Linked DNA regions of Canis lupus familiaris. The main gene of each other region encodes a partner of the protein of the gene in region 3 in a complex. Links are inferred from orthologs where the notes say so. Each region holds a gene or a part of one and is shown on either strand. Other genes may lie near its edges. The genes, in order: THUMPD2, THUMPD3, TRMT112 and METTL5.

Region 1 (8,677 bases), on a different chromosome or scaffold from region 3:
ACTATGTGCCAGGCCCAGTTGCTGTCCTTACCATATATCATGTTGTATTGTCATCCTTTAAGTGTCTCAGCAATCCAGCACCATCACCATTACCACCCATTAAACTGGCTGGAACTTTGTCTTATCAACTGATACACTGATATGGACTCAATAAATATTTATGAATGAGTAAATAATAAAGGTATAAGATTTATAAATAGCAGCATACTTAGAAAGGCAGCAGAGAGCATTCTGGAAGATGTGGCAATCTGCCTCAGCCTTAAAGAAAAGAAATGGAAGAGATGATTCCAGACAAAGGGAACAGGATAAGCAAAGGCCTGGGAGGAGGAAAAGAGTGGGCATTTTGGAGAAGTTGGCAATTGAATCCTTTGGGATGCAGCAATGGTTCCTGGTCTCTTGGGGAGAAGGGGCCTGGCTCGCCACCAACCCCACTCAACTGTAACAGAACATGGAGGGTGAGGGAGGGGAATAGGCAAGCATGACATTTTGAAAAGACCCCAAAGGTCATTCAGACAAGTATTCCTAGTTAAGGAACATTATTAATAAAGTATGTGGGGTGGATTAAAAGGATGTTGAGGAAGGAGGGGAAGTAGCAGACAAAATCATGAAGAAGGTTATCTCTGGTGTCCTTCTATCCCCTCAATGTCCTCCATTAGCCTCATATCCCCATATCTCACTCATAAGGGCCCTTCTGGTGTGGTGGTTGTTGGAATCCCTCCTAGGACCTCTTCTGTGAGTGACCTTCCATTTAGTTATATTCCATCCAATTCAGCATACATTGACTGAGAAACTTCCACAGGCAAGCTAGTGTGCTTGTTATGGATGCTCAGATCAATGAGGTCATGCCATCCTCAAGGATCTTTTTTTAAAAAGAAAAAAGATTTTATTTATTTATTCATGGGAGACACACAGAGAGAGTGGCAGAGACACAGGCAGAGAGAGAAGCAGGCTCCATGCAGGGAGCCCGATGTGGGACTCGATCCCAGGACTCCAGGATCATGTCCTGGGCTGAAGGCAGTGCTAAACCGCTGAGCCACCCAGGCTGCCCCCCATCCTCAAGGATCTTACAACCTAAAGCATTTGCATTTTAATATCTAAGTACATATATCAATGTTTTTTTTTTCAAAGATTTTATTTATTTGAGAAAGAGAGAGAGAGCCGTGTGAGTGCACAAGGGGGGAAAGGAGCAGAGTGAGGACAAGCAGACTCCACACTAAGTGTGGAGCCTATGGGGCCTAATCCCACGACCCTGAGATTACCACCTGAGCCAAAATCAAGAGTCAGCCAATTAACTGACTGAGCCACTCAAGTGCCCCTATATCAAATGCTTTTAAGAACTAAAGGAATTGCCAACTGCACCAAAATATGGAGATCTTGAAGCAAATAATCATGCCCTAAATTCCTAAAATGCTCCCATTTAATTGCATATCTGTTGTAAAATTGTTCCTGCCAACTGCCAACTTCCTACCTGTTGAATATGCAATATTGAAACAGCAAAACTCAGCTGGATATGCTAAATATCTATAGGGATCAGTGGTTCTTTTTCAGTAGAGACATATTTTAATGAGAAGCAGAAATGATGGAGGAAAGAGTATTTGAGTAATGAGAAGAGAATCCCAGGCAATTCTCCTCTCAGAAAATCATTTTCTCCCTATACAGGCAAAACTTCACCTATTTCACCTCATCTCAAGCACCATGTGAAAGGCATTCTTAGAAGTTCTGTGCTGCAGCAAGGCCCAAAGGTGAGCAAATGCACTTGCCCCCAAGCCCCAGCTTCAGCAAGAGTTAGCCCCTAGCCCTTGCTGACCAGATGCTCCTGGTGGCAGAAAGACAACAGAAGAAGGGGAAAGAGGATATAAGGGGAAGACTGGCTCTATAGGACTACAGCCTCAGCTCAGTAGTGGTTCTGTCCAGGAAAGCATGTTGCTAGGCAGCCCTACACTAGAAAAGTCATTTCTTCATCCACCATGGGCAGCACCACCATAACATTACCCCTACCCACCTCTTTACCTTTATCTCTATTAACTTCCTAACTCATATGCTCTAATAACATCTACCCTCTGATGTGGCCCTTCTGCCCCCAACCCCTCAACCACACACATGGTCACATTTATGTATGCTGCTCCTACTACCTGAAAGGCTACACCAGTACTAACACCCACTCCTACCCCCCATCTCCACAGTCATGTAACTTAATACAACCTTCAACACTTGGCTCAGGAGTCATTTTCATAAGGAAGCCCTCTCTGCTGCCTCTCTGTACTGCCACAGCATCCTGGGTGCATCCTCACTAAATCAATCTCACCATTCTCTAAACCCCTTAGAGTCCAAACCCTTGCTTACTCATTTTAATATCCTCAAGACTTAGCAGGAGGTCTGGCAGAGAGTGGCTGTCCAGTATTTGTTGAACTATGTCTGAGCGCTCACCATCTTGGGTACAGAATGTACAAAGTACTAAAGGGGTCTCAAGGGTCTCCCCAAACAGACTTGAGTGTCAGGAACCCCAAAGCATAAAGAAGTTGGGATGAGCTATGTCAACTGCCGAGAGAATGAGAACGTAAGTCTGAAGGCAAAAAGAGAAGGAAGGAAGGAAGGAAGGAAGGAAGGAAGGAAGGAAGGAAGGAAGGAAGGAAGGAAGGAAGGGAGGGAGGAGGGAGGGAGGGAGGGAGGAAGGAAGGAAGGAAGGGAGGGAGGAATTTGCCAGAATGAAAGGATCTGAGAAGTTTTAGGACCAGAAGCTTGAAATGCTTGTGTTACAGGATTCTATAAGAATTTTTTTACTACTGTCCCAGTAGACCAAGAGGTGGGGCGGGGTGGGGAGGAAAAGAGGGAGTACCTGTTACTTGCCTAGGTCCCATTGGGAAGCACATGAGAGGTACTTGCCAGAAAGATAGTCATTCGTTTAAGAGTTTCTATATAACTTCATATACGCACAGAACTAACGTAATGCTGTCAGCCTTGTAATATGGATTCTGTTCCTCCCAAGCAATATTTTCATTGCCAGTTGAAAATTCAAAATTCAAGAAGCCTCTTCAAATACTGTTAAGAGAGCCAATTTAGTTGGGTGGCCCAAACTAGATGGTGCATTCTTTACCTTGGTGGTTGACTTAATAGTGCAAGGAATGTGACCTGCTTTATGAACATAAAAACGTTCCGTTGCAGAGTGGCGATTTCTGCTCTTGATCCCGAGGATTCCCAGCTCTGGCCCAATTCCTGGTGAAGACGGAAGAGGGCTCCTCGTTTGAGGAGAGTAGTGGGACAGGATGGAGAAGGGGAGAGGGGAAAGTTGGGAGAAATGGAAGCGAGCTCATTATCCTGGGTATCAAGACGAGCCTCAGCTGTGCCACTAACTGTGCCTCGGCCTGCCTAGGGGTCAACTTCCTCAATTTCAAAAATAAGGCAGATGGGTTAGATGACACCAGTCGTTTTTATAGATCCGATAACGGATCCCAATTGTATCCCATCCACCTGCGAGTCTAAGTAGTTCAGATGCCTAATCAGGCAAGTTTCGAGCAGTTAACACAGGAGACCCACAGCCCCCGCTCCCAGGGGACCGGCCCCCGACGCCCCCCTCAGGCCCCCCCACGCCGTGGCCTCCCAGCGCGCTCGCCGGGCGCTCCACTAGACCCCCCCACGCACTCCCCGCCCGCCCCCACGGCGGGGGACACGGGGACGCGCCGCGCGCCAGGTCACGTGACCCCCACGGGCACGTGACCCCGAGGGGCGGGGCCGCGCGCAGGCAGACATGGCGGCGACGCCGGCACATGCCGGCCCCCGGCCTGCAGCGGGCGCCCGGTTCTTCTGCACCGCAGGCCGCGGCCTGGAGCCCTTCCTGATGCGGGAGGTGCGAGCGCGGCTGGCGGCCACGCAGGTGAGTCGGCCTGGCTGCGCGCCCCGGCTGGAAGGAGGGCCGCCCTGCAGCCGCCCGGGCTCCCTCCGCGCCGAGGCCCGTGTAGACCCTGGAAAGCGACGCGAGGCCCCAGCTCGCAAACCGCGGACCCGCAGAGGCGACAGCCCCGGGCCTCGGAGTCCTGACACATCCTTTAATGCCTGCTGGAGAGAACCGCCAGTCGTTGTCCCCTCCACGTCTGTTACCGCGCGTCTCTCACGCCTGTCGTTTTACTAGAAGGGGGGGGCGGGGTTGGGGCAAGTTATTTCCTCGGATGCTTTAAAGGCGGGTACAGGACAGTGCCTGTGGTTGGAATTAGATCCGTCGGAGTCCGAAGCCTTCCTCCACCCTTTAAATACAAATGCCATCCTCAGGCTCAGTCACTTGACCCTGTCAAGGTTCCTGACCATGGCTGGGTTGCCTTCACAGGGTTGTTGGAAGGATTGTATGACACAGGGTACGTCAAGTACACCCAGAACACCGGTTCAGGGCAGCCCGGGGGGGCTCAGCGGTTTAGCACCTGCCTTCGGCCCAGGGCGTGACCCTGGAGACCCACGTCAGGCTCCCTGCGTGGAGCCTGCTTCTCCCTCTGCCTGTGTCTCTGCCTCTCTCTGTGTCTCTCATGAATAGATAAATAAAATCTTTAAAGAAATAAAATAAAACACCGATTCACAGTAGCTGCAAAAGCGATACCGTCTCGGAGGCCTCATAGTCCAACTGCTGGAGGAAGTTGACAGTTGCTGGTATTTTCTGTTCATTTCAATGAAATGAACAAGGTTTTTTCCACGTGAGTTTCCGTTCTAGAACATGCTGAGCTGGTTCATGAAAGCGGAGGGAACAGATGTCGTAGAAACAGACTCCAGTAACTTGATGGGCTCTCTATGACCGTGTGAATGATGGGTGTTTTAGGAAAAGGAAAACTTACTGAATGAAATTGACCGTGCCACTCTAGCAGGCCCTGCAGAGCTGGAAGCCACAAAAGGATTTTCTGCGGTGAGGGTGTTGGGGGCGTGGATGATACAGGGAGGGGGTCATGAAAAAAAATGGCATCTGTCTTAGATTACCATCCATTTGTGGTTTGGGTCCCAGAATTTAATAGAGTGTTGCATGTAGATAATCTAAAAAAAGCAACAGTATAAGATCTGCTGACATCCATGAAGCATTTACTGTGTGTGAGGCCCACGTTCTTAGGTCCTTACTCTGTATTCACCTGCTTAGTTTTCACAACAACCATATGAGGTAGGCTCTACATTTAACAGAAAAGGAGAATGAAGCACAGGTAAATCCAATAAATTATTCAAGTCATGTAAAGTGGCAGACCTGGGATTCAAACCCAAGCTGTCCATGAGCTTAGGTATAAGTATATAATCATGTCCAACCCAGACAGGCCAGGTACCTGGGTCCAGTTCCTTGACTCCTGTGCAACCATTACATCATGCTGCACTGATTTTTTTTTTAATGTTAACTTAGAGTTCTTAGTATGAAAAATGGAAGGCTTACCCCAATTGGAGTATGTCTAATTAGAAAAATTATCCTCTCTGCTTGTTCCCCATCCTCTCTAAAGACAAAAGGAGATACAGAGTGCACAGTGGGTGAGTAGGGGGCTCATCACAGCCAAAAAAAAAAAAAAAACCAATTTCAATTAATTAGAGGGATAGACTTATTGGCAATGGGAGGAATTAAATGTCAAGAGATTTTGGAATTTCCATATTTTGATTGTGTATGTTTTAAGGATATACTTGGAACTGGGATCTGAACAAATAACCTCTGAAATTCCATCTCAGTTTCACTAATATAAACTCTCAAAGTTAAGGCAATTTTGAAAGAATAATGATAGCATCTAACATAAAGCACTTAAAGTGTGTCAGATGCTTTTATGTACATTGGGTACGACTTAATCCTCAAAAGAATCCTATGTGATAGGTCATTTTTCCCTCCATTTTACAAAGAAGTAAAGAGAAAACTGATGCTACCGGGTGGAGCTGGGACTTGTATCTGAATCTTTCTTGCTTTGAAGCCATGTGCTTTACTACTGCATTAAATTATAGTGGGGAACTGCCCCAAAGCATGTAGGTCATTTTTGTAACAGCATGGAAAAGAGTGTATGAAGACTTTAGAGGCCAAAGACATGTTCAAATCTTAATCTTCTTTTAAATTTGGGCTACATACTCAAATTTCTGAGTCTTACTTTCCTTGGATATAAAATGGAGATGATAATACCTACTTTAAAGGATTAAAGCAATCCTTGAGGTAAAGATCCATAGCATGTATAACACAATGTCTTGCAATTAATAGGTGATCAGTAAATATTGCCAATGAGTGAGTTACACAGGAATTCTTAAAATCATTCACGCAGTAACGAGACTGTTAGAAACTGGTTTGCTGCAAGAAAGTTAATATTGTAAAATCTGAATTTACAAAACAAATTATTTTAGAAGTGATTGTTTACTTTTACAAATTAATCACACCTTTCTAATCAGTGTTTCTCCAGTTTTAGTGAACCTAAGAGTCATGTAGGGTGCTTTTTGAAAATGCATGGCCCAGTGGCCACCCCCAAAAACTTCTCTTTCAGTAGGAATGTACACAAGCCCAGTCATTTGCATTTTCCTGCAAACTCTTCTCCCCTCAGGTCACTGATTTAGGTGCTTCCTCAAACATGCAGCTTGCAATAGAAAACATCCTGTGCATTCTGTATAGCTTTTCATCATGGAGAATTTCAAACAAAAATAGAATAGTGTGAATCTTATGTACTCATCGACTGGCTGCAAGCACAATCCCGTAGTGAATTCTGATCCATTAATACTCCTCCATGTTATTTTGAAGTAAACTCAAAATATCACTTCATCTGTAAATGTTTGCCTATATAGTAAGTCACCCTTATCCTTGGGAGACACGTTCTAGGACCCCTAGTGGATGCCTGAGAACATGGGTAGTACCAATTCTATATATACTGTCTTCTACTAAATATATGTACTCATAATAAAATTTAATTTGTTAATTAGGCACAGTAAGCAATTAATAATAAAATAGGACAATTATACTGTAATAAAAAATGTGAATGTGGTCTCTTGCTCACTCTCCTGCCCTCTCTCTCAAATTATCTTATTGTACCATACTCACCCTTCTTATGATGATGTTAGATGACAAAGTGATGAGATGAAGTGAAGTGCGTGACCTTAGGCTACTATTGACTGACTCTGATGGTACTTCAGAAGGAAGGTGGTAGGGGCGCCTGGATGACTCAGTGGTTGAGTGCCTGCCTGCCTTTGGCTCAGGGCGTGATCCCAGGTTCTAGACTGAGTTTCGCTTTGAGCTCCCCACAGAGAGTCTGCTTCTCCCTCTGCCTGTGTCTCTGCATCTCTCTCTCTGTGTCTCTCACGAGTAAATAAATAAAATCTTTTAAAAAAAAAAAAAGGGGGTGGAGCTTCAGGACTATGATTGTAGGCATCATGACATGGCCTTATGCTATTGACCTTACACTATTGACAGGAAATGATACCACGGATAACGGGACTACTGTATATCTAAAAGAAGAGGACTTATATATGGTATAATATAGAAGAGATAATACATATAATGGCTCTTTTTACAATATAAACCATAGTATCATCATGTCTAAAAATAATTTCTTATCAAATCACTGTTCAAATTTCAACTTGTCTCAAAACGCCATTTTTAAGTTTGTGTATTTGAATGAGGAGTCCAGTAAGGGCCACACATAATGATTGACTGATAATCTTTTAAGTCTCTTTTATTTTTAAAAAAAATATATTTTAAGTCCTTTTAATCTATAGATTTTTCCCTACACCTCTCTTTTTTCCCCCAGCGATTTATTATTGTTAAAGAAGCAGGGTTGTTTATAGTCTAGATAGAGCAAGGGTCGGCAAACTTTTTCTTTAAAGGTCCAGATAATAAATATTTTATGCTTTGTAGATCACATATGTGGATCACTTTGTGGTTTCTGTTACATATTATTTGTTGTTGTTGTTTCTTTTTATATCCCTTTAAAAATGTAAAGACCATTCTTATCTCACCAGGCATCATTTTCTGGCCCCTTTCTAGTCTAGAGCTGTGCTATCCAATAGGAGGTGGTGGCTATTTTAATTAATTAAAATTAAAAATTCACTTTCTTAGTCACATTTCAAGTGTTCAGAAGCCACATGTGCTAGTGGTGACTGCGTTGGAGAACACAGGTTATAGAACATTTGAATCATCACCAAATGTTGTTGGATAGCACCATTGAAGTTTCCACTGGTCCTAGGTAATGCCAATTATATCTCCATGTGGTAGTTTAGCATGTTTCTCTGTCCTCTCTATTTCCTGTAAATTGGAATCTTGTAAGTTGTATCTAGAGTTTGTTCAGATTCAGGTTAGATTTATTTTTCCTCCTGGTGGTGGAGCCAACTTCTTTATAGGTTCCTGGATATGTTTAAATGTTTAATCTATATTGTATAATTATACATTTTATTATGTATAATATATTTTATATACATACATACTATATATTTATTTTACCTGGACTATCTTAAAGAAATATATGGGGAAAAGTCAAGCTTTATTTTATAACGGTGTTTAGTGTATTTAATACTGTTATTTACTATAACAATAATAGCAAGAATGTTTTTAAGATAACACTCAATATAATAAAGGTATACCTAATGCCAGCTAGCCAAAAAGGCCCTGTCAGTGGATTAATTGGTTTTTATAAACCCACATAGCAAAGACTTTTTAACTTGGGTCCTGAACCTTAAGAAGACAACTGATTTTTAATTTTTTAGTGGGGTCTTG
Region 2 (7,540 bases), on a different chromosome or scaffold from region 3:
CTCGTATTTTATGGACCTTTTAAAATACTTTTCAAGTTTTGGTCCATGCAGTGGAGACCTGAGCAGTATCTGACATTGATATACCACAATCTACAGTTCTGGCAGTTTCCTGAAAGTTTAAACTATTTTAGAAGAAATTTTTTTAAAGGTTTTATTTATTCATGAGATACACAGAGAGAGGCAGAGACACAGGCAGAGGGAGAAGCAGGCTCCAAGCAGGGAGCCTGATGTGGGACTCCATCCCGGGACTCTGGGATCATGCCCCGAGCCAAAGGCAGAAGCCCAACTGCTGAGCCACCCAGGCGTCCCTAAAATAAATTTTAGAACAAATGTTTCCCTTTCTAGCTCTAGCACATGGTCAGTCTTTGGGAGATAACCATCTTACTTTCATTAAATTTATAAAATCTTTGTTAATTTTTTTCCCTTCTAAAGTATATTGACTCTTACAATAATAGAATGTCTGGCAGGTAATTTGGCCATTTTGTGCTCAGATTATAAAGATTACCTTCCCCTTCTTTTGCATTCCCGTGGTACAGGAGGCCCAATTCAAGGTCACATAACTAGTTGGTGACTGCATCACGTATAGCTCAATCCCTGCTCTTCAGAGTCCTTAGCCCATTTCCTGTTCCTGTCCCCAGATTACAAAACATAATAGTAGGGAGGATGATAGCAAGCTTGCTGAGTGCTCACTAACATATTTGCATCATCCTAAAACCAATCTGGTCATGTTTTTACATTGCTATTTAATAGGACTAAAGCTTATGATGGGTCAAGCACAAATTTGGGATACTTAAAAACTAAACCAACATGCAAAAATAACAATTATTTAGCAAATATTAAATGTCCACTTTGGCAGATACTATGCCAGGCATTTGATAAACAGTGGTGAAAACAGACATGGTCCTTTTCCTTACCACTTCTGCAGATTACTGACCCAACAGAGAAGTTTAAATGATTAAGAGGTGAAGGATTATTTTATGGTGAACCCAAAATAGTGCAACTATGTGTTCTGATGGTAAAAACTCCGGTCTAGAATATAAAACCCTTGTAAGTGTCTTCCCTCTAATTCATGCTGAAGTGTGGGGTAGTAGATCAGAGAGAAACCAAACTAGGACTATTGGCTATGCTGCTAATATGAACTCTCTTCTTTCAAAGGAAAGAAATGCTATGTCCTTTTAGTCTAAATGTGAGATATCTAAGAAGGTATTGAGTAGTACTAATATATTACTAACACGACACTGTAAATCTAAGCTGAATATAGCCTGAAACTGAATAAAGACTTCCACATGTACCTCAACTACTATGTCCCAGGGAAGTACCATTTTTACAAGGACTTACTAATATTCATTTTATTTTCCACCACCTCAGAAAGGACTTTAAGCAGCTGGAAAAACAGCTAACTACAAATATAGGTCCAAGAGAAAATAGAAGAATTCTCATTTAGTTTGCTTTTTCTTAAAAACTATTTGAGAGTGTGAGTGGGGAAGTAGAAGAAACAGACTCTTCTGAGCAGGGGGGGAGGGAGGGAGCCCAATGTGGGGCCCCCATCCAAGAACCTGGAGATCATGACCTGAGCCACCCAGGCACTCCTTATAAAGTTTTTAATTCAAAGACACATCAGTATGTTCTCTATTCCTTTTAAGAAACAACAAATACTTTTGACAAGTTTATGTTGGACTTTGAAAAGGAACACCAGGGGATCCCTGAGTGGCTCAGTGGTTTGGCACCTGCCTTTGGCCTAGGGCATGGTCCTTGAGTCCCATGTCGGGCTCCCTGCGTGGAGCCTGCTTCTCTCTCTCTGTGTCTCTCATGAATAAATAAAATCTTTAAAAAAGGGAAAGGAAAAAAAAAAAAAAAAAGGGAAAGGAACACCACTTTTGTGTACTCAAGTTTGGCTTATTGGTCTGATACTTAACCTACCAGTGTATTTGTTCTTTACAAACAGAAATGTGGGCAGCCCGGGTGGCTCAGCGGTTTAGTGCTGCCTTCAGCCCAGGGCCTAATCCTGGAGACCGAGGATCCAGTCCCATGTCCCTGCATGGAGACTGCTTCTCCCTCTGCCTGTGTCTCTGCCTCTCTGTGTCTCTCATGAATAAATAAAATCTTTAAAAACAAACAGAAATGTACCACACTGCTAACAGTAAAGTATGTGCCAATTCCTTTGATCAATCTTAGTTCTCTATTTTAGTTTTATATATTAATTTTAATAGCATGCATATTTTGATTTTTAGGGCAGATAGTAAACTCTCCAATTGGTCTGGTAAGATTTCATCTTATTTATTTATTTTTTTTTAAGATTTCATCTTTTTTTTTTTTTTTTTTTTTATTTATGACAGATACAGAGAGAGAGAGAGGCAGAGACACAGGCAGAGGGAGAAGCAGGCTCCATGCACCGGGAGCCCGATGTGGGATTCGATCCTGGGTCTCCAGGATCACGCCCTGGGGCAAAGGCAGGCGCCAAACCGCTGCGCCACCCAGGGATCCCTAAGATTTCATCTTGTTATGGGGCAAACACTATTCATAAAATGGAATGTTTCATTTGTTTTTAAAGGGTGATGTAAAGCCAACATGAGAAACTAAAGAGCAAAACTGCATAGGCAATGCAATATGGCCCCAAATGTTCTGGCTGTTTTCTTCCTTTCCTTTAGGCCAGGGTAGCTTTCTATCTCCCACAATGGAAAAAAGGAATTGCCATGAAGCCTGAAAATAAATACTCAAAACCCAAATCCCAGAGCATTTTAGTAGTCTTAGGATCTTGAAAAAATTTTAAGTAGTAATTACCTGGCCAGTCTGTCAAAAAGAGTTCCAAAGCTCTGCCTAAGACTTTAAATTCCATTCACCCCTTTTGCTAACAAAGGTGAAGAGCTTTAGACCAATTTAAACTGCAAGCTGCAATTTTATTAACACTATTTTTCTCTTAAACCAAGTTCATCATGCTGACATTCCCTGTGTTGGGAGGTACAGATACCATTAACCGTCTTCATTATTTGCATCACCAAGGAGTTCTTTCCCCATCTTGTTCTGAAGGATGAATAAAAGCTTGAGGTGTACGTTTCAGAAGATAAACTGCTGCATGAAGACCCCCTATATTCACCCAGACAGTATGTACCTTCCGCCAAACATGTCCCATTCCAGATAATGCCTGTGTATACATAAAAAGGAAAGAAGTAAGTAGCAGGTAATCTGTAGACCAACCAGCAATCTATTTGCCAGTAAGAAACTATGGGGGAACAGAAAACAAATCATACTCAGTATCCCTAAGTTTAAATTAAAAGATCCTAAAGTTGTGACAGGGTGAGTTTTTGGGGTAATTTACAGCACCTTGGCAAAGCATTTCTTGTCCTGAGTAAGTAGTGCAGCTCGGCCTGTCCCTGGTCTACAGACACGGCTCATCTCCCGTAGGCAAGCTGGATAAAGGTTCCAGTTTCTCTTTTTGGAGCCCATCCTATAAAAGAAGATCCAGTGAATCAAACAGTAGATAAACATCTAGGACTATACGAAATGAGAAACTATTAAGAACTCATCCTCATTACAATAAGAAAATCCTGAAATCTACAAAACAATTGCCCTTTAGAAGCCATGGCTTTGCTGTAATGTGCCAATAAAATGAGTAATCTGATATATTAGTAAACTGCTTAGAAATATGAAAGAGATGAACTGACTACAGAACTTTGACAACTGTAATAGTTTCATAAATTGTCCTCTTAATGACTGTAATAAACAGATTATGTAAACCAAACCAATGAGAAAACATTTTTCCTGAAAATTAGTACCGTTTTCCTCAATCTTTGTGAAGTATCCTGTAATTCAACAATGGGCCAGGAAGTGGACTAAGGTGTGATGGCCAAGATCAAAATATAGTTAATTTCTACACTAAAAACAAAATTGGTGACTCCATCATACTATTTATAATTCTGAAGTGAAAAAGTGCTCTAAGTACTAAAAGGATTTGAAGGCTTCTGATAGAATAAGCTCTTAGAAGACAAAATGGGTATGTTTAACAGGTGAAGATAAAATTCATTTTTTAAAAGCCAAGTCCTACCTTTTTCCAAATGGCATGTCTGTTACAATAATGTCCACAGAGCCAGTTCTCAATGGCAGATTGCAGATATCCCACTGAACAGCATCTATGGGCAAGCCCCAGGACACTTTGCTATGGGGACAAAGGAAAGGTGCTTATTCTGAAGTATGAAATCTAAAAACATTTCTGAAGAGACTGCTATAAAATATAAAATGCTACTAAAATAATCTCAATGACAACATTAACTTAATAACCAAAATTTTTAAAGCAAAATGTAGGAAGAAAGCTTAAGGTCACATGATAAAACTTCTAATGACCAAATCTGTTAGTGACAATTTAAAAAATGGTTTCAAAAGATATCTGATTCCATCTACAACTTAAGAAAACTGATTAAGGAGTAAACAAGACTGACACAACTGCAAAAGATGACTGACGATAGTAATGAAACAGTAAACCATATAACTGAGAATGTAAAGCATCAGTGAACATGGGGAAAAAAGATTATGAGGTGACATATCTAAAGTATGATAGAGGGATGCCTGGGTGGCTCAGTGGTTGAGCGTCTGCCTTTGGCTCAGGGCATGATCCCGGAGTCCCAGGATCGAGTCCCACATCAAGCTTCTGGCATGGAGCCTGCTTCTCTCTCTGTGTCTCTCATGAATAAATAAAATCTTAAAAAAATAATAAAAATAAAGTATGGTAGATCACTTACTAACAAGACCTAAAGAAACATATGTAGGGCAGCCCAGGTGGCTCAGTGGTTTAGCGCTGCCTTCGGCTCAGGGTCTGAGCCTGGAGACCTGGGATCAAGTCCCACGTCAGGCTCCCTGCATGGAGCCTTTTCCTCCCTCTGCCTGTGTCTCTGCCTCTCTGTTTCTGTGTGTCTCTTATGAATAAATAATAAAATCTTAAAAAAAAAAAACACAACAAAATGTACCATGAAAATTCATCAATAAAACAAATGTAAAATGAATTAAAACCTTTCAACTACTTCTATGCAAAAAATGATGTAAACGCCTTGCTATTCAAAGTTGGACCACAGCCCAGCAGCATTGGTATCACCTATACACTTACTAGCAAGCACAAACTTCCAGGTCCCATATGAAAACTACTGAATCAGAATCTGTATTTAACAGGATCCCCAGGTGACTCACATGCACATTAAATTTCGAAAAGCACTGCCCTAGACAACTAGATCACATAGACAAGTACATAACCAACGATGTAAAAAGAAACCAAAATAGAGAATTGTACAAATCTATAGGGTATGTTCAAAATGAGTGCTTATTAGCATAAAAGGTATAAAAAATTTTTATCATTAAAACATTTATAGCATATAACTTAAAATTTAAATAACAAGTTTAAAAACCTCAATAGGAAATTGAAATAAAAAACAAGCCATGAGGGATCCCTGGGTGGCGCAGCGGTTTGGCGCCTGCCTTTGACCCAGCCGCGATCGAATCCCACATTGGGCTCCCGGTGCATGGAGCCTGCTTCTCCCTCTGCCTATGTCTCTGCCTCTCTCTCTCTCTCTGTGTGACTATCATAAATAAATAAAAATTAAAAAAAAAAAGCCATGAGCATCAAAGCCCAGAATAAACAATATATGAATTAAATTTTGATTTTAATCAAAAAAGGCGGAAAATTTAGCACAAAAGGAGGATAACCAACATACAGACATAAAACAGTATGAGGCATCCCATGTGTTAAGTAATAACAGGAATATCTGCATCAAAGAGATAGATACTTTCTAAAACCACTGATTTCTAGTTACAAATATAAACCTCACCTTAATTAAGGGTTATTCAGGCAGCTGTTTCTAGGTTTGATAAGGCCAATTATAGAGTATGATGACTTTCTTTGGTTATGTATTCAGAATATGGAGTATCTGTATGATTGAACAAAACTGCTGACCACTGCCTACTCCTGCCACTTTCTAAGAAAAAGGCACCAGCAGAGGAGACCACAGAAACAATTTTATGATGAGGCCTCTGGTAAGAAACTGAAGACCAAGTGACATTTCAACCAATTCTCCCAAAGACAGCTGAAACTGAAAGAATGGTGAAAGGGTGGCACAGGTGGCATCATGGAACATAACATGAAACAGTGGGCCAGGGCTTAAGATACTATAACAATAGATAGCTCAGACTAAAAAAAAAAAAAAAAAAAGACAAAAACATTTCTCAGAGGCCAATGGAATTCCAGTGCACAGATAGGATCCAGCTGAAGGCCTCTGAAATATTGCTTGCAGAAGGATTTGGAGTGGGATAGGAGGAGGGGGAGTTTTGGTAGCCCTTCAAATGTCTGATGTCAAGCATTATGTGACACAGAGCTAAGATTCTTTAGGGATCCAAATGGGACTAAACTCTAGAAGGTACAGAGAGGAACTCAGTTCACTATGAGACAATACTAGTACTCCAAGCTAAGCAAAGATGGAATTGACAGCCTTCAGAGACCGTCATTAGAGATGGTGACACAGACTGGAAGGCCATTGGTCAGGATTTCCTATAGGACATTTAGGTGGAGATGGCTTTCAGCCAGATGGCTTTCCTCCAGCCCTGAAACTGCCTTAAAGTGCCAAATAATACAGGAAAGGCTAAATAACTGTAGTATTTCTACACAAATATGCAGTCATTTTTAAAAAGACTATAGAAAAAACTCAGTGTTTGAAAATTTGGAAAACTAAAATGGATCAATGCAATATTCTTCCACCATTTGGGAAAAAAGATAATACAAATGAAAGAAAAAAGGAAGACAGAAATAAACTAATTGCACTGGGTGGGGAAAATATAGTTAAATAAAATATTTTTCTAAGTTACTTTTAATAAACGGTTTTAAATTTAATGGAATCTCACAGTATGCTCATATTAGTTATAATGATGTCACCATGCACTGGGGGTATTAATTCATAAAGTTGATAGGAAACATGATTAAATCTAAGAAATGCTACAAAACTTTTTAAATTAGGTTTTTACCCTTCTTTAATTTGGCTCTTGGTCAATAAAGATGAGATGTTATTTGCTGCTCTATTCACAGCCAACGGATTATTATCACCAGCAATATGATAACAGTTAGACCATTCAGTAGCCCCCTAAAAGACAATAGTATATATATATTAAAACCAAAGTAACAAACTGCACCCCCAAAAAAATGAAATGATTAAAAGGAAAATCATTTCAATTGATTGTCAATAAACTGGACAATCCAATGCAATAATCCAATGCTTTTCTAAAGTAGTAGAAAACTGCATGTTGTGAACTTTGCTATTCCCTCTGCTTGAGAAGCCCTCCTGTTCTCTCACTTGCTGAATTCCTATGTATCTTTCAAGACCTAGCTCAAATGGCACCCTCTCTCACATCAACCCCAACCCTCCAGCTGTCTCTCATTTGCCTCCCCAACCCAAAGCATTTTGTACTTACTCTGTCACTGCACTTGTTTTTAATTATTGCTATACCTGTCTGCCTTTTAAAGAATCTCCCTAAGGACAAGTCTGATATTTTATTCAATCCTTCAGCCAGC
Region 3 (7,313 bases):
CTCTAGTGTGGGGGTTGCTGGTGTGCACTCACCTTCCCAAAGGCCCCAGTGGGGTCAGCCAACAGCCTAACCTAAGGAGAAAGTAAAGGTCAAAAGAACAATCCCCTGCCTGGCCCCTGACCCCCTGCAGGGCCCACATCTCACCTTGCCTCCTGAGTTATGAGCTCGTCCCCATGCCTCAGTCACGAAGACATCATTAACGCTCAGACAGGCTATCACCTGGACCCCCTTGGCCTTCAGAGCCTCAGCCTGCTCCATGAATCCTGGCAAGTGGGTCTAGGAGGGGAAATGAAGGGTCAGCAGAGGGATAATTGCCTCTGCTCATTGGCCTACCCATTATCTCCAGGAAATCCTCATTTCCTTTTGAATATCTTTGATCAGACCGTTAGAAACGCATAAGCCACAAGGAAGCTCAGGTCCAAACTCGAGTGTTCGGTAGTCACCATGAACTTCATCCCAGGGACATGACTATACTTTATTTACCCAAGCACCTTCCATGGTGCCCATCCATGGTGCCCATCACCAGCAACATCAATAAGACAGGTGGGACTTAATCACAAGACCCTTTTCTCCTGCATTCCTGATGTCACTACCTTTTCACCACCTCCACTTATTTTCTGAGTGCTCTGATAGGCCTTCTGTCACCTTATCTATGTGTCCTCGTCGCAAGCTGCCCTAGGACTTAGGAACAATACAGATGTATACACAAGATTCCAACCAGGGAGTCCCAGAAGGGTGGTCTCACCTTGGAACAGCCAGGGGTAAAGGCCCCAGGGACTCCAAACAGCACCCCCTTCTTGCCCTTGAACAGCTCTGCCAGGTTCACCTCGTTCCCAGGCTCCCCTTCAAAAACCGTCACCGAAGGGATGGCATCTCCCACCTAGAGGGAATGGCTTCATGATTACTTTGGTTACTTTAAAAGTGAGCAAAGATGACTAGAGATAGGCTAGACAAGGAAATAAGGAGTTGGGGAGTGAGGGGGTGGGTAAAGAGGCCAAAGGAAAGGTGTTAAACCAGACCAGGCAGTTCCTTCTAGTGGAGCAGAGTTGACAGACTTGTAACATCCTAACCAGCCAGTTTCCAGCGATCCCTCCCTGCCACCCTACCTACCCTCTTCCCCCCACCGCCTGATTACTCCACATCCTCCAGGTTTCAAGATGGCCCTATTCCTTTCACCGGTTTGTTGATGACAACAGAAAATGGAGGAGGAGGCCTCCCTGGGTGTTGCAAGGGATTGAGTAATCAGGGAGTCTCTTTCTTACCAGAAAGAAGTGGGATCTGCAGGCAGGGGAGGAGATGCATGGGGCCTATCTAAGGGGTGAGGAGGAGACGCTGACAACAGGGAGGGAGAGGCCCCTGGCCAGGTCTGAGTGTCCAGCGCTCAGGAAGAGAAAAGGGGAGACCAGCAGAAGGTGAAAAGTTGGGGAGGGGGAATAAAATAAAAGGAATTTCTCAAAGGGGATGGATTAGTCTACTTAGGAAGAGTGTGTGAATGTTTCATGGAGCCAGAGGAAATACGGGAAGGGAGGACAAATCAGGGAGTGGGAGGAAGATAAAGGAGGAGGAGGTTTCAGAAGAACGTGGAAGGGTTCCCAGGATCATTCCAGGTGAGGGTTTGAAAGACTCGGCAGAAGGGTGGGCATGAGCTGCGGGAGAAGCGGAAAGGAGGAGACAAAACAGGGGCTCTAACGGAAAACACTTGTTCCAGACGATGGGGTGAAGAGTGATGCCCCAAAAATATAACAAGAACGTGCAGGAAGGTTTGCAGGGGAGGGGCACGTAGGAGGGTTGAAGAGCAGCCCTGCGGCAGAGGAGAGGGCCGGTTCCGGAAGGCGGAGGAGACGCCTACAGATGGTGGAGACCCATCTTGGTGCCGCATGGTGGAAATGGGAAGGGGGCGAGGGGAAGGCTCGAGAGCTCTGGGGCTGTCCAGTGGATGGGGTACAAGTCCCCTAAAACTGGCGAGACTGCAAAAGGGTGTGGCTGAGGGAGAACCGCAGGAGGAGCGTCCGGCGCGGCGGGCAGGGGTCCTGAGGGCAGGAAGGAGGGGGATTCTCTCCCGGGAGGACGGGCGGGAGGGGAGCTCAAGCTGGCCCGGCCAGCGGTCACCTTGATTGGGGCCATGGCGGAGGCGGCGCTTCTGAAACCGTGGGCCCCGCCAAGCGTCCAGTCCCTGCCTCGCTGCCGCACCCTCCGGCTGTCGACACTGCCTGTGCTGCAGACCCGAAGGCAGCCGCGGGGACGAACCCGGAGCCCACCGGGCCGGTCAGGGCGTCCAACGCAAGCGGCCGCACGCCGACCCCGCCGCGCACCACGGCCCGGCCCCCGCGGCCCAGGCGCGGCGAGGGGCGGGGCCCAGCAGGATAAGCCCCCGCGGGATCCCGCGAGAGGCGGAGCATCAGCGAGGCCCGCCCACGGCTGGGCTCCTCCACTGCGCAGGCGTCGGGGCGCGAGCAAGGGGCGGGGCTTCTGGGGCGCTCGGCTCTTGGGCGTCTGGGGCTGGACAACCAGGGCAGTTACAAGCGGGCGGGGCTTTCGACAGCCGCGCGGCTTATTTGCGTGCAGGGATGGGTTGTCGCTCTCGTGGTGGGCGTAATTTACGGATTGACCGCAGCGTTTCCTTACCCGGAAGCGAGGGGCGGCAGACGATGGTGCCAGGCCGCCCGTGTAGGAGAAAAGCATGTTTATTTTGCATTCAGCAAAGGCCCCTGCGCTGCGGCGGCTTTACACGTGATCTACACTGAGCGTGATCTGTAGTGAATGGAAGCCACTGGGGCTACGCCGCAGTCCTCTGCCAGGCCGCTTCCGGCAGCAGCGCGTGACCCGACCAAGCTCTTCAAGCCCCTCCGCCCCGGCTGCTCGGGAACTTGCAGCATGCCGGCCACTTCCGCTGGCCCGAGCCGTCCAATAGGACAGAGACGGGAGCGGTTCCGGAAGTGACGCGAGGAGCGTCTGCTTTCCTCCGGTTCCGGCCTGGGGAAAGCGCGTTGCCGCGACATGAAGCTGCTCACCCACAACCTGCTGAGCTCGCATGTGCGGGGGGTGGGGCCCCGTGGCTTCCCTCTGCGCCTCCAGGTAACGGCGGGGGGGCGGGCTCGCGGCCGTGCCCTGGGCGGAATGGAGAAGCCGGGCTCTGGTCCCTAACAGAAGCCCTCCACCCTGCAGGCCACCGAGGTCCGCATCAACCCCGTGGAGTTCAATCCCGACTTCGTGGCGCGTATGATACCCAAGGTGGAGTGGGCGGCGCTTTTGGAGGCGGCGGAGACCGTGAGGACCCTCCCCCACGCCCGTGTTCACCTTCCGGGGGAGTGGGGCGGGGGGGAGTGGTCTCACCGCCAGCCCAGAGCGAGGGGCGGGACGCCCGGAGATGACTTAGGCCTTTGCCCACAGTTGCATCTGGTCGAGGTACCCAAAGGGCCGATTGAAGGGTATGAGCATGATGAGAAATTCCTGAGGCAGATGCACCACGTGCTGCTGGAGGTGAGAGCAAGCCCATCGCTTGCTTCCCCGGCCACCCAGCCACAGCCCGAGGCTGCGGGTACTCAGCTCTGTTCCCCGCTTCCCCGCAGGTGGATGTGTTGGAGGGCACCCTGCAGTGCCCAGAGTCTGGACGTCTGTTCCCCATCAGTCGCGGGATCCCCAACATGCTGCTGAGTGATGAGGAAACCGAGACTTAATCGTGCCAGATACTAATTTTGAAGTCTGTAACTGTGTATGTTTCTGTTTATATCTAGCCTATTTGCTAGTCCGTCGTGTATCCCCACCCGTGACCCAGTGACACACGAGAAACACGATGTTCTTGAGCTCGATATATTTCTTTTTCTCATTAAAGGTTCAAAACCAAAAGCGGTTTCTCTTTGCAGCAAATATACATTAAAATAGAGTCTCTGTACAGCCAAGGGCTCTGGGCCCTGGCTTGCCCTATGTCCCTGCACCTCCCTGGCCAAACCCAAAAATAAATATAGTGTTATTGCTCTGCAGGGCATAGAGGCAGTGCTCTCACTACCCCCTGAGGAGGCTGGGTGGGAGCTGATGGGGGGCCATGGCCACCCCAGGGGTCCAGGGGCTGGAGCCTGCTTGGAGTTATTGCTTCAAGGGGGGGGGGGGCAGTAATGCCCAATGCAAATGATGAGGAGAGGAGCGAAGGGGGCAGGGGCCTTTGCTCTCCAAATCCCCCTCTGCTCTGGAGAGGGGGTAGGATTAAGCAGCAGCAAAAGCATCACCCACTGGGAGACTGTTGCCTCCACTCCCTTCCCTCCCTGAGATCAGGCTTCTGCCCCCGCCCCCAACACACACACACATGTCCCCTGCAGCCCCCTATGGCTTCCGCAAGGCCCCCGACACTCTGGGGGCACGTTATGGCTTGCAAGGGGCAGCACTGTGCCCAGAGCCTGGGCGCACACATTCCCAGCTTCTAAGACCCCCTGGGAGAGAGGAGGGGAGGGCGTAGGGCCTGTTCCCAGGGGCTGATGATATTGCCCTGGCCCTGCCAGCAGGCTGTGGCACTGCCCAGACCCCAGCTCTGCCCCCTTGGGGCTGAACCCATTCCGGGCGGGTCCTGCCAGCACCCCCACCCATGCCCACCCCTTGCCTCAGTCCATCATGGCCTCGAGCATCTCCAAGAACAGCTTGTGCATGGGCACCTTGCCCTCCAGCTTCACCCCGTAGAAATGGGCCAGCACTTTGCCCGCTGTCTGGCGTAGGAGCGGTAGTGTGAGCAGCAGCCTGCCTGCCCGCCGCCGCTCAGCACCCCCTCCGGGGCCTGCCCGGCCGGCTTCATATTCCAGCAGGGCCTCATGTAGAGCTTCTCGCAGCTGCTCCACAGCCTCGGCATCCTCAATGTGCACGGAGTCTGCAAGGAGGGGTCAGATGCTGTTGACATGGACCATCTCCAGAAATGGCTAAGCCCACATCTGCTTGAGCACTGTGGGATGGGGCCTGAGGAGGAGCCAGATGCAGATCCGATAGGCTTATTGGAGCACCACTCACTGCTCCTGCCCATGAGCCATGGCCCACCCTTTCTTCCTCACCTATGGCCACCTTTTGTCTTCCCCCCACTTCCCTCCCACTGAATCGTTCACCTGTCCACATAAGGATGGCCCTAGAGCTCCAAATCCTACATGTAGTTCCTGGGTCTGCCCTCACCTTTGGGACTTGAAACAAAACACTATTCATCCCTAATCCCCAATTTTTATCATCTGTGAGATGAGATGGTGCCACAATCAGGGTTACAGACTAGAGGGCCTCCTGGAGACACCTGTCACCATGGACTCACCTGAATTGGCAAGGGCCAGAGCCTTCAGCAGGACATATTCCTCACGCTCCAGCCTCAGGGCCTGCAGTCGCCTCACCAGCTGCAGCAGGGCGGCCCCAAGTTCCCCCAAGCCAGCTGCTCGTGCCCCCTCTTCATCCAGGACCAGGTCCTCAGCAAAGGCCAGCTCATCCTGCAGTGGCAGTGAGCGCTGGGCCACACCCAACACCAAGACCTCCATCCATACACTCTGCAGTACTGACATCTGGTCAGACAGTGACAGTGACGAGAAGCCTGGAGGATAGTGGGAAGCAGACCTGGCTGAACAAGCTCACCAGAGCCAGGCATGGCCTGGCCTACAGAGGGAAGCCCCACATCACCCCGGCCCTTTACCTGGGATACTCTTGGCCCAGCTGATGGTGACCACAATCTCTCGGTCAAAGAGGTCACAGAGGGTAGCCACAGCTGGGAGGTGTCCGTCAGGGCCCGCTGGGTCAGGCATGGCATAGAGCTTCTCGGGCTCTACCACCAGCAGGTGAGACACCAGTGCATTTACAGGAGCTGCAGTGACAGATGGAAGAGGCACTCGAATTCATCCCCCTGCAGGCCCCTTCAGGGTCAAGTGTCTTGCCCAAATTAGTTCCCCTGCAGCCTTCCTCATAGCCACTGGCCAGCCAGGCCTGGACACTGCTCTCGGGAAGGGCTCTCACCATCTCCCAGGGAAATCAAGTTCATGGACAAGTTCTGAGTATGAGAAAAATCTTTCCCGGTTCCCAGGTGTACTACTCAGGGACTGATTTAAAAAAAAAAAAAGGTATTTTTAAAAATACTTCAGGGAGATGTATTGCCAACAAATGAAAGGAAAACCGAGAGCCCAATGCCCACGATACCCATCCTGGGTGACAGACACCTAACAGGCCTCTCATGTCCTGGCCCCATCTGAACCTGAACTTCGAGGACCCATAGCACTCTCACCAGTTTTCCGAGGGCCTCCAGCTACTGCCAGGGGTCCAGCAGGGAAGGAGCCTGGGAAGGGTAACGGGTCCACCTCGGGCCGCCGCTTGTACTTCTGGCGCCCACCTCGGACACGGTCCAGACGTACTCCTTGAATTTAGGATAGGGCTGTGTCCATGGGGCTGGGGGTGGCTTACTGTGCAGAGCCCTCCTACCCAGTAGATTCCACCAGAACTTCCCAGGCCTTGCCCACCCCAGCTCCATGCACCCAGGCCCGTGCCCCGTGCTCACCCTCCTTGAGCATGCCCACCCGCAGGCACTTGGTGAAGCGACAGGCCTGGCAGGCCTTGCGTCTCCGCTTGGTGATCTCGCACTCGTTGGAAGCCGGACAGCTGTACTCAATGCTCCCTGCCAGAAAGAGGCAGGGCTCCAGTGGCGGCCTCCCAGGGCCCAGAGGGGGCTCAGAAGATGGGAGAGCCCAGACTCACCCAGGGCAAGCACAGGTCTGGGAAGAGCAGGAGTGCCCAGAGTGTGGCAGGGAAGCCCAGAGCCCTAGGGGGCTGGCCTCTGGGCTGGGGGCTCCTGACTAGGCAAGGGAAGCTTGAGACCAGAGGTGTCAGACTGACCTCTGCCCCCAGCCTCTAGTCAAGCCACGTCCCTGGACTCTACTAACCTCATCTGTTCCCATCCAGGGCCACAGCAGCCTCCACACTGCTACATCCCATAGTCCATTCTTGTCCTCATCTTACTTGGCCTAAAGGGGCATCTAATGCCATGGATCATGTCCTGCTCCCACAAACATGGGGACACTTTTCACCTTTTGCCTCTAGGACACCACACCCATCTTCCTTCCACCTCACTGACCACTTTGTAGTTTCTGTGTACCCCACACACTCCTTCCATTGAAGGACCCAGGGCTGCCCTGGGACCTCGTCTCCATCAACTCACTCCCATGGTGAACTCACCGGTCTTGGGCCTTCACATTTCTATCAATAGAGCTGCGTGAACTCTAGACTCACATCCCACCGCCTCAACCTCTTGTACATCTAGAAGGCGTGACAAACTTCACTTGTCCTAAATGGAGCCCTCGACCTACCCCTCCAAAACC
Region 4 (6,670 bases), on a different chromosome or scaffold from region 3:
TTGAGAGTTAACTTGGAATATTAAAATTTTCATTTTAGTCTTATTTAAACAAGATAGTATAATGGTTTTATTCTATCAATCTTAAAAGATACATGTTCTACTTTTTTGCATCTTGTCTTTTTGCAGGAAGAATTTGAAGTGTCTATTTTGGTTTTGGGAAAAAGTTTTTAAATACCTGGTATTCATTTAATCCACTATTTTGATAACAGGTATATAAAGTAAATATGAGCTTTTTCTACTTTTAACAGGGACAGATATGGCATTTCTGAAGACTGCTTTGGAAATGGCAAGAACAGCAGTATACTCTTTACACAAATCCTCTACTAGAGATGTAAGTTCAAATCATTTTACTTCAAAATTCATGACAGCGTTTTATGGGTTTGCTGTGAATGCTAATTACCAGGGTATCTCTTCTAAATTCTTTAAACATCTGGCACTTAGAAACTGAATTTTCCCTGTGACTAGCTAGCATTAGTTTTCTTCCAGCCTATATGACTTCTGTCAAAGATTTGCTCTGGCAGGAACTTTTACCAAGAGATTACATGAACTTCAGTAGAGAAGTGTGGTATAGCTAGGGTTATAGTATATCCTAGTTTGCCTAAATCCTAGTAATCCCATTGTCCCTTTGTGGTTTTGTGCATAATGGAGGCAGTAAGACCTGATTTTTAAGAACACTGAGCCTGGAGCTAAAGTGAGCTGAGTTCAGAATCTCCCTGTTCCATTATTCTTTTTGCCACCTATGTAACACATGGGGGTATAGAAGAAAACAGAAAATTTGGTGTATTTTTGGTCAATATAACATAATGATCAAGGACACAGACTGTAGAGCCAGACTGCCTACGTTCAAATCCAAACTACCAGTTCCCTGTGTTATCTTGGTCAAGGTATTTGAGTTCAGCTTCATAACCTATACCATTACTTAGCTGTACTCTTATAGTATTAAAATGGCTTGGGTTATTTTCAAAATACTACCAGTTCACTTGAAAATTTTTTAAGAGTCTAAATTCTGGGACACTTGGGTAGCTCAGTTGGTTCAACATCTGCCTTCAGCTCAGGTGATGATTCTGGGGGTCCTGGGATTGAGCCCTACATCGTCTGCTGCTCCCCCTGCTTATGCTGTCAAATAAATAATTTTCTTTTTAAAGTCTAAATTCTAATGAAATTTTAAAGGCTTAAAAAATATGAAGTATTAGCAAAACAATTCTCAAATTATTTTAAAAATCAGCTCACATTAACGTATTATCTTTAGCATATTCAAAAGAAAGCTACAGAATGGAAAATCAAGATAGATATTATTGCAGGTAAGACAATTTTTAAGTTTCTTACAAAATAAATCTAAACCCTAATTATTTAGGGCCAGTAATACATTAGCCCATCCAAAATTTTATAGGTGCTAAGATGCCATAGAACGTGTTTTCAGCCTGGCAAAATGTGAAAGGTTGGTAATGGGTTGGAAATGAAGTAAAGGCCGAGTGTCAGTGTTTGCCTAAGAGTGTCCCAATTTATGCATTTTATGGAAAATTCCTAATTAGCACTCAACTATTTGGCCACTCCAGGCTCAGACAGTATACTTGTCGTGATGTAAGAGCTTGGGCCTGGAGGGGTCAGATCTGTTTAAAACCCATTCATGGAAAATACCACCAGATCATGCCTGATTACCTTTTCCATTTCAATTTTCTAATCGTCCCTAGAGTCAGAGAACATGAAGCTTTTTTCTTTTAACGGGGGATAGGATATAATCATCCACACTATAAGTAAATATTTGATACATTTTTATTAGTAAATTGGGTAATATTCACAAACATCAAAATGGGAAAAACATATAACTAGAAGCCAACTATGGTCCAAATAATTCTAGAGGCCTGAAATAAGAGTACAACATGAGGAAAATATTCTTTACTTAGTAATAAACTGACTAGGATTAGCACTGTAGTGTTAACCATATAACCAGTCCTATTCATAATTAGTAATGTAATGTGGAAAAAGTCTGTCGGTCCTATTTATCCAGTATTGTCATTCCTTACCTAGTTTAAGGTATTAGAACTTGCAGCCTGGAGCACCTCAGAACCATTCCAAGTATACCAAGCCAGGACCTTGCTACTCCAGATGTGGTCCTCAGAACATCAGTATTGACATCCCGTAGAAGACTTGCAAAACTTCAGGCTCCACACAGACTTACTGAATTACAATATGCATTTTAAAAAAGATTTGAAGGTGATTTGATTGCACAGTAAAATTTGAGAGCTGTAACCTATAGAGAATTTATGCTGCAAAATATGAATGATAGGAGTGTACTGCCATCCCTCTAAACTGAGGAGTAATTTTGGAGAACCTAGTATTTCTTAGAGTAAGAAAAATGGATTATCATCACTTGAAAGCTCAGTAGGAAAATACTACCAGTATTAAAATCCAGACAAATTTTAAAAATAAGCATGATTATTACTGCTATAGATTATGAAATTAAAAATAGAAAGGTATGATCATCTTCTGTCCAATTGTTATCCTTTCAAATTCTTCCCCATAACCTCTAATTTTGGCATCAATGACCAAATAGAAATGCCAACCTCAGTTAGCCATGGGCTGACTTGAGAATATATCAAGTCAGTCTCTGGGTAAGTTAAAGTGACAGGTCTGAAATGTTCTGCTTACCAGGGTTAAATACTTCCTTAATTTTTAAGAATTTACATATGTAATATATGTATTGTCAGGGTTGACAAATGAATTTTTATTCTTAGATGACTTTTGTTTTCTAGAGCTACGATACGACCTGCCAGCATCATACAAATTTCATAAAAAGAAATCCGTAAGTCTCTGGATTCTGGCTTATCTGCATTCAGTACTGAAGAACTTTTCAATAAGTAACTATTTACAATGTTATCAACTTGCCTGAGTAAATACAGAAAGCTAGCCAAGGAGACAGAATAATTATCGATGTGATAACAGCCAATATCCTGGTTCAAGATATTCTTTCTCAAATGCTTTAGGCACAAAAATAAAAAACTAAGTTTTTGCTCTTTTTATATAGTACATATTTTATTAGTTTGTACTAATACATTTTCATATTACAAAGGCAATTTAATGGAAGAATCTTTCTTTTGATATTTGAAATAACACAAACAGAACTATACATTAAAAAAAATGTCTTCATTTGGATAACAAAAAAAGACAAGTTAAACAACAACAAAAATTTTCCTTTCTTACAGGTTGATATTGAAGTGGACCTAATTCGGTTTTCTTTTTAAAAGCCTCTAAAGACAAAAGCAGCTTAAAACCTAATTAAGATGAATAAAAAATTTTTTTACTAAATTACTGGTCTCCAGCACCATTTTCTGTTTTCTGTTGTTTTGGTGTAGGTTGTTCTTCTTTGTCTGTTTCCTCTCTTGCTCTTTTTACTGGTCCTATACAATTCAATAAAGAATTTTTGTTAAGTTCACTATGTAAGCATTACTCTTTTAATAGTGAGCATAATTAACAAAATAATTGTTTGAAAAGCAACAACTTCCCAACACCAACAATAAGGCTTTTTCCTTTGGTACAGATCTTCTCTCTAAACTTATCTTCCAAACATCTTTTTTTTTTCCACTTGTAAAACAGGATAACTTGGGTAAATCACAATCCAAAAGTCACTTATACCAAAGGTGAAAAACCACACTGCTGTCCTTTCAAATAATTTTGAAATAACAAATAATTTTTCATCAAAGAACCAAAGGACTTAGAAAAACTTACCAGATGCACCATTCTGATCGTGTTCTTCATCACTATCAAATTTAGTTTTCTTGCCCTGAAACTGTACTTTTCCTTTAGCAGACCCAGTCTGGGCAGCTTTATTCCCCTTTCCTTTTCCTTTAAATCTGCGACCTATAAAAACATAATTGATAAATCCATAAAAGTCTTAAGTCCTTTGTCACGGTCTCCGAACAAGCAAATGAGTTAAAATAACCAAATAGTCCAAGACAAATCAGAACTAATGACCTTTTGATTTCCATTTGTTTAGAGATTCTTGTTGATCTTCTATGATTTTTTTCAGTGCTTCCTTTTCCACATCTCCTTCTAGTACTTCCCACGTCACTTCTTTGTTCCTTAATTGTAGGTTTCCATTATTTGCATCTTTGGCTTTATCCAGTGCTTCCTTAGCTTTTTCTTTAAATAGAATTATCCCCTATACCAAAGACAGTAAAAGCCACACCCTTAAGGTTTTTTTTAGTACCATAGCTAATTCCATTGCTCAAAACTTTTTCCTGCCCTGCAAATCTTCTCCGCCATTATCAGTTTCAATGAATTTTAACTGAACTTTAGAGAGTTATCATAAAACTTGCAGTCACAAATACCAAGTTATTTATAGCCTAACTCAAAAAGTATGAGACATCACGTCCAGTGATGGCAATAACAAAATGGAAAGTAAAAGACCAAAAACTATTTCATGAACACATTATTAAATAATTTTGTCGCTAGTAATGTTATCTTCTAAAAGTTAAGTTTCTATGGATTTTTATTTTATTTTTATTTTTTTTTTTAATTTTTATTTATTTATGATAGTCACACAGAGAGAGAGAGAGAGAGAGAGAGGCAGAGACACAGGCAGAGGGAGGAGCAGGCTCCATGCACCGGGAGCCCGATGTGGGATTCGATCCCGGGTCTCCAGGATCGCGCCCTGGGCCAAAGACAGGCGCTAAACCGCTGCGCCACCTAGGGATCCCTTCTATGGATTTTTAAACTGATTGCTAAAAAGCCTATGAATGTTTCCAAACCTCTTTTGCTCCTCTGACAAAGTCTATCCATTTTATTTCACCATGACTTGAGAAAAGGATGTGCAAATCTTCTCTACAGGTCTGATCATCTAAGTCTCCTGAAAATTTCAGCAAGCAGCCAATCTTTTCTTCTAGAGATTTCTGTAAAGACATACAAAGCATTAAAGTTTTTTAAAAGCAACCACAAACCAGATATGGCTTAAACCACTCTATACCTAATACATGGGAAAAGCTAGAAACTAAAATGCTGTTTTAAAGTAGTTTAATAGTGCATTTTCCTGTGGCATCCCTTATTATACAGTGGCTTCTGATGGTAACTTAAAATTTTATTTCTTCAACAATATAATATTTACCTAGCTGGATATATTGGTTATTTAAAAAATGTAGTTACAAGTTCTTTCTCTGGGTAATGATTTTAGGCAGTATTATTGGGCTATGACTTTAGTACAATGAAAACTACAGACTTGTTCACATACTTGCTTCAAAAAGTTCTCACTTTTTATTCTCATAAATTTGAATTATAGCTTAGATACCAAAAATACAGACTTACTATTTCAGCACTTTCTGCTAACTTTTGTTTTTCCTCTTGCTCTCTACAAAAGAAATGGTAATTAGAATCTTTCCATTAACTGTATGAGAAAATTAAATCCTGATAAAGTTAACCTTTTTTTTTTTTTTTTTAATTTTTATTTATTTATGATAGTCACAGAGAGAGAGAGAGAGAGGCAGAGACATAGGCAGAGGGAGAAGCAGGCTCCATGCACTGGGAGCCCGATGTGGGATTCAATCCCGGGTCTCCAGGATCACGCCCTGGGCCAAAGGCAGGCGCCAAACCGCTGCGCCACCCAGGGATCCCCTGATAAAGTTAACCTTGATCATAATCACACATTGCTTAATAATCAAAGGCAGTCACTAGGCTTTCTGATTGCTCCTGGCTAGAGTGCAACACTGTGGCCCCCAGATTATTAAGGCAGCTTAAGATCTTAATGTTTCACTAGCAAAACAAAAGCCTACTGCTACTCATTTCAGAACTCATCATCAAGCTCCACTTCCTAGAACCACTATCTCTGTCAAAGCTTTAAGAAATTAAAATGACTGGCTCAACGTACTTACTGTTTAGCTCGTAATTTAGCTTCTACTTTATTTTGCTTTCTTTCTTCATTTTTTTTGGCAAAGTAATCTTCCCTAAAGAAGACAAAATACAGGGACTGAGTTCATGAGAACAAAAATAAGACTAAATTATTTTGAATGAATTAAACACAAGAAGGAATATTACACTTTCTAGAAACATAATTACCTAAAAATTCAAAAGATGCCAAGGAAGTTATTTTAATAACAGCTTTACGAAAAAAGTCAAATTCCATAAAATGTACACCTTTTAAAAGTGTACACTTCAGCGGTCTTTAGTATATTCAGAATTGCACAACCATCAGTAATAATTTCAGAACAAAAAGAAACCTGATGTCCATTCCAATCTTGTATTGATTTTACCATTCATGTATGGAAAAAAAGGTAAACCAGAATTTGTGGAAATAAGTTCATAGAATTTTCTACAGTGGTACTCTACAGTAGGAGAAAATTCTACAACCTCTGAAACCCAAGAGCAAGAGCAATTATGAAAATCAAGTTAGGGACGCCTGGGTGGCTCAGTGGTTGAGCATCTGCCTTCGGCTCACATTGTGATCCCAGGATCCTGGAATCGAGTCCTGCATCAGGCTCCCTGTAGGAAACCTGCTTCTCTCTCTGCCTATGTCTGTCTGTCTCTCTCTCTTTCATGAATAAATATGTAAAATCTTAAGAAAAAAAAAAAAGGGAAAGAAAATCATGTTAAAAAATACTTTTTAAAAAGTTAACACTAATTGCACGATGCACCACAGTGCATCTCTTAAGTCCATCAGGTTTAGTACATGGCATTTAAGATT

Evidence for each region.
Region 1: TRMT112 (region 3) and THUMPD2 share a complex: the UniProt entries of both Homo sapiens proteins name them as parts of the heterodimeric THUMPD2-TRM112 methyltransferase complex. The link is inferred for Canis lupus familiaris from reciprocal best matches to the Homo sapiens genes TRMT112 and THUMPD2.
Region 2: TRMT112 (region 3) and THUMPD3 share a complex: the UniProt entries of both Homo sapiens proteins name them as parts of the heterodimeric THUMPD3-TRM112 methyltransferase complex. The link is inferred for Canis lupus familiaris from reciprocal best matches to the Homo sapiens genes TRMT112 and THUMPD3.
Region 4: the proteins of TRMT112 (region 3) and METTL5 are in contact, whole or in part, in a crystal structure (PDB 6H2V), measured with the Homo sapiens proteins. The link is inferred for Canis lupus familiaris from reciprocal best matches to the Homo sapiens genes TRMT112 and METTL5. Residues at the interface, in NP_001359000.1 of Homo sapiens: Met1, Lys2, Leu4, Thr5, Leu8, Leu9, Ser10, Ser11, His12, Phe21, Pro22, Leu23, Pro34, Val35, Asn38, Asn40, Phe41, Arg44, Met45, Lys48, Glu92, Arg111, Gly112, Ile113, Pro114, Asn115, Met116, Leu117; in NP_001280115.1 of Homo sapiens: Asn52, Lys53, Val54, Gly75, Leu76, Val78, Ile82, Leu87, Asn91, Thr100, Ile102, Asp103, Met104, Val105, Gln106, Cys107, Asp108, Asn114, Arg115, Met116, Ser119, Phe120, Asp121, Arg150.

What each region holds. Positions count from the first base shown.
Region 1 is NC_049238.1:31,897,533-31,906,209, reverse strand, and holds the start of THUMPD2 (THUMP domain-containing protein 2), read left to right. Parts: upstream 1-3,726; 5' UTR 3,727-3,745; coding exon 3,746-3,871; intron 3,872-8,677. UniProt on the Homo sapiens protein: Catalytic subunit of the THUMPD2-TRM112 methyltransferase complex, that specifically mediates the S-adenosyl-L-methionine-dependent N(2)-methylation of guanosine nucleotides, most probably at position 72 (m2G72), in the U6snRNA of the major spliceosome.
Region 2 is NC_049241.1:8,846,668-8,854,207, forward strand, and holds the end of THUMPD3 (THUMP domain-containing protein 3), read right to left. Parts: intron 7,113-7,540; coding exon 6,997-7,112; intron 4,154-6,996; coding exon 4,043-4,153; intron 3,446-4,042; coding exon 3,322-3,445; intron 3,143-3,321; coding exon 2,993-3,142; 3' UTR 2,877-2,992; downstream 1-2,876. UniProt on the Homo sapiens protein: Catalytic subunit of the THUMPD3-TRM112 methyltransferase complex, that specifically mediates the S-adenosyl-L-methionine-dependent N(2)-methylation of guanosine nucleotide at position 6 (m2G6) in tRNAs.
Region 3 is NC_049239.1:53,259,478-53,266,790, forward strand, and holds TRMT112 (multifunctional methyltransferase subunit TRM112-like protein), read left to right. Parts: upstream 1-2,581; 5' UTR 2,582-2,625; coding exon of another isoform or gene 2,626-2,682; 5' UTR 2,683-2,997; coding exon 2,998-3,075; intron 3,076-3,165; coding exon 3,166-3,480; intron 3,481-3,569; coding exon 3,570-3,677; 3' UTR 3,678-3,846; downstream 3,847-7,313. Other genes in the region: PRDX5 (peroxiredoxin-5, mitochondrial), read right to left, coding at 33-71, 145-276, 746-880, 2,626-2,682. UniProt on the Homo sapiens protein: Acts as an activator of both rRNA/tRNA and protein methyltransferases. Together with methyltransferase BUD23, methylates the N(7) position of a guanine in 18S rRNA.
Region 4 is NC_049257.1:14,778,915-14,785,584, reverse strand, and holds the end of METTL5 (rRNA N6-adenosine-methyltransferase METTL5), read left to right. Parts: intron 1-248; coding exon 249-331; intron 332-1,249; coding exon 1,250-1,301; intron 1,302-1,390; coding exon of another isoform or gene 1,391-1,407; exon of another isoform or gene 1,408-1,438; intron 1,439-2,753; coding exon 2,754-2,890; 3' UTR 2,891-3,203; coding exon of another isoform or gene 3,204-3,242; 3' UTR 3,243-3,306; downstream 3,307-6,670. Other genes in the region: SSB (lupus La protein), read right to left, coding at 3,307-3,398, 3,727-3,858, 3,973-4,159, 4,749-4,889, 5,299-5,341, 5,862-5,933. UniProt on the Homo sapiens protein: Catalytic subunit of a heterodimer with TRMT112, which specifically methylates the 6th position of adenine in position 1832 of 18S rRNA.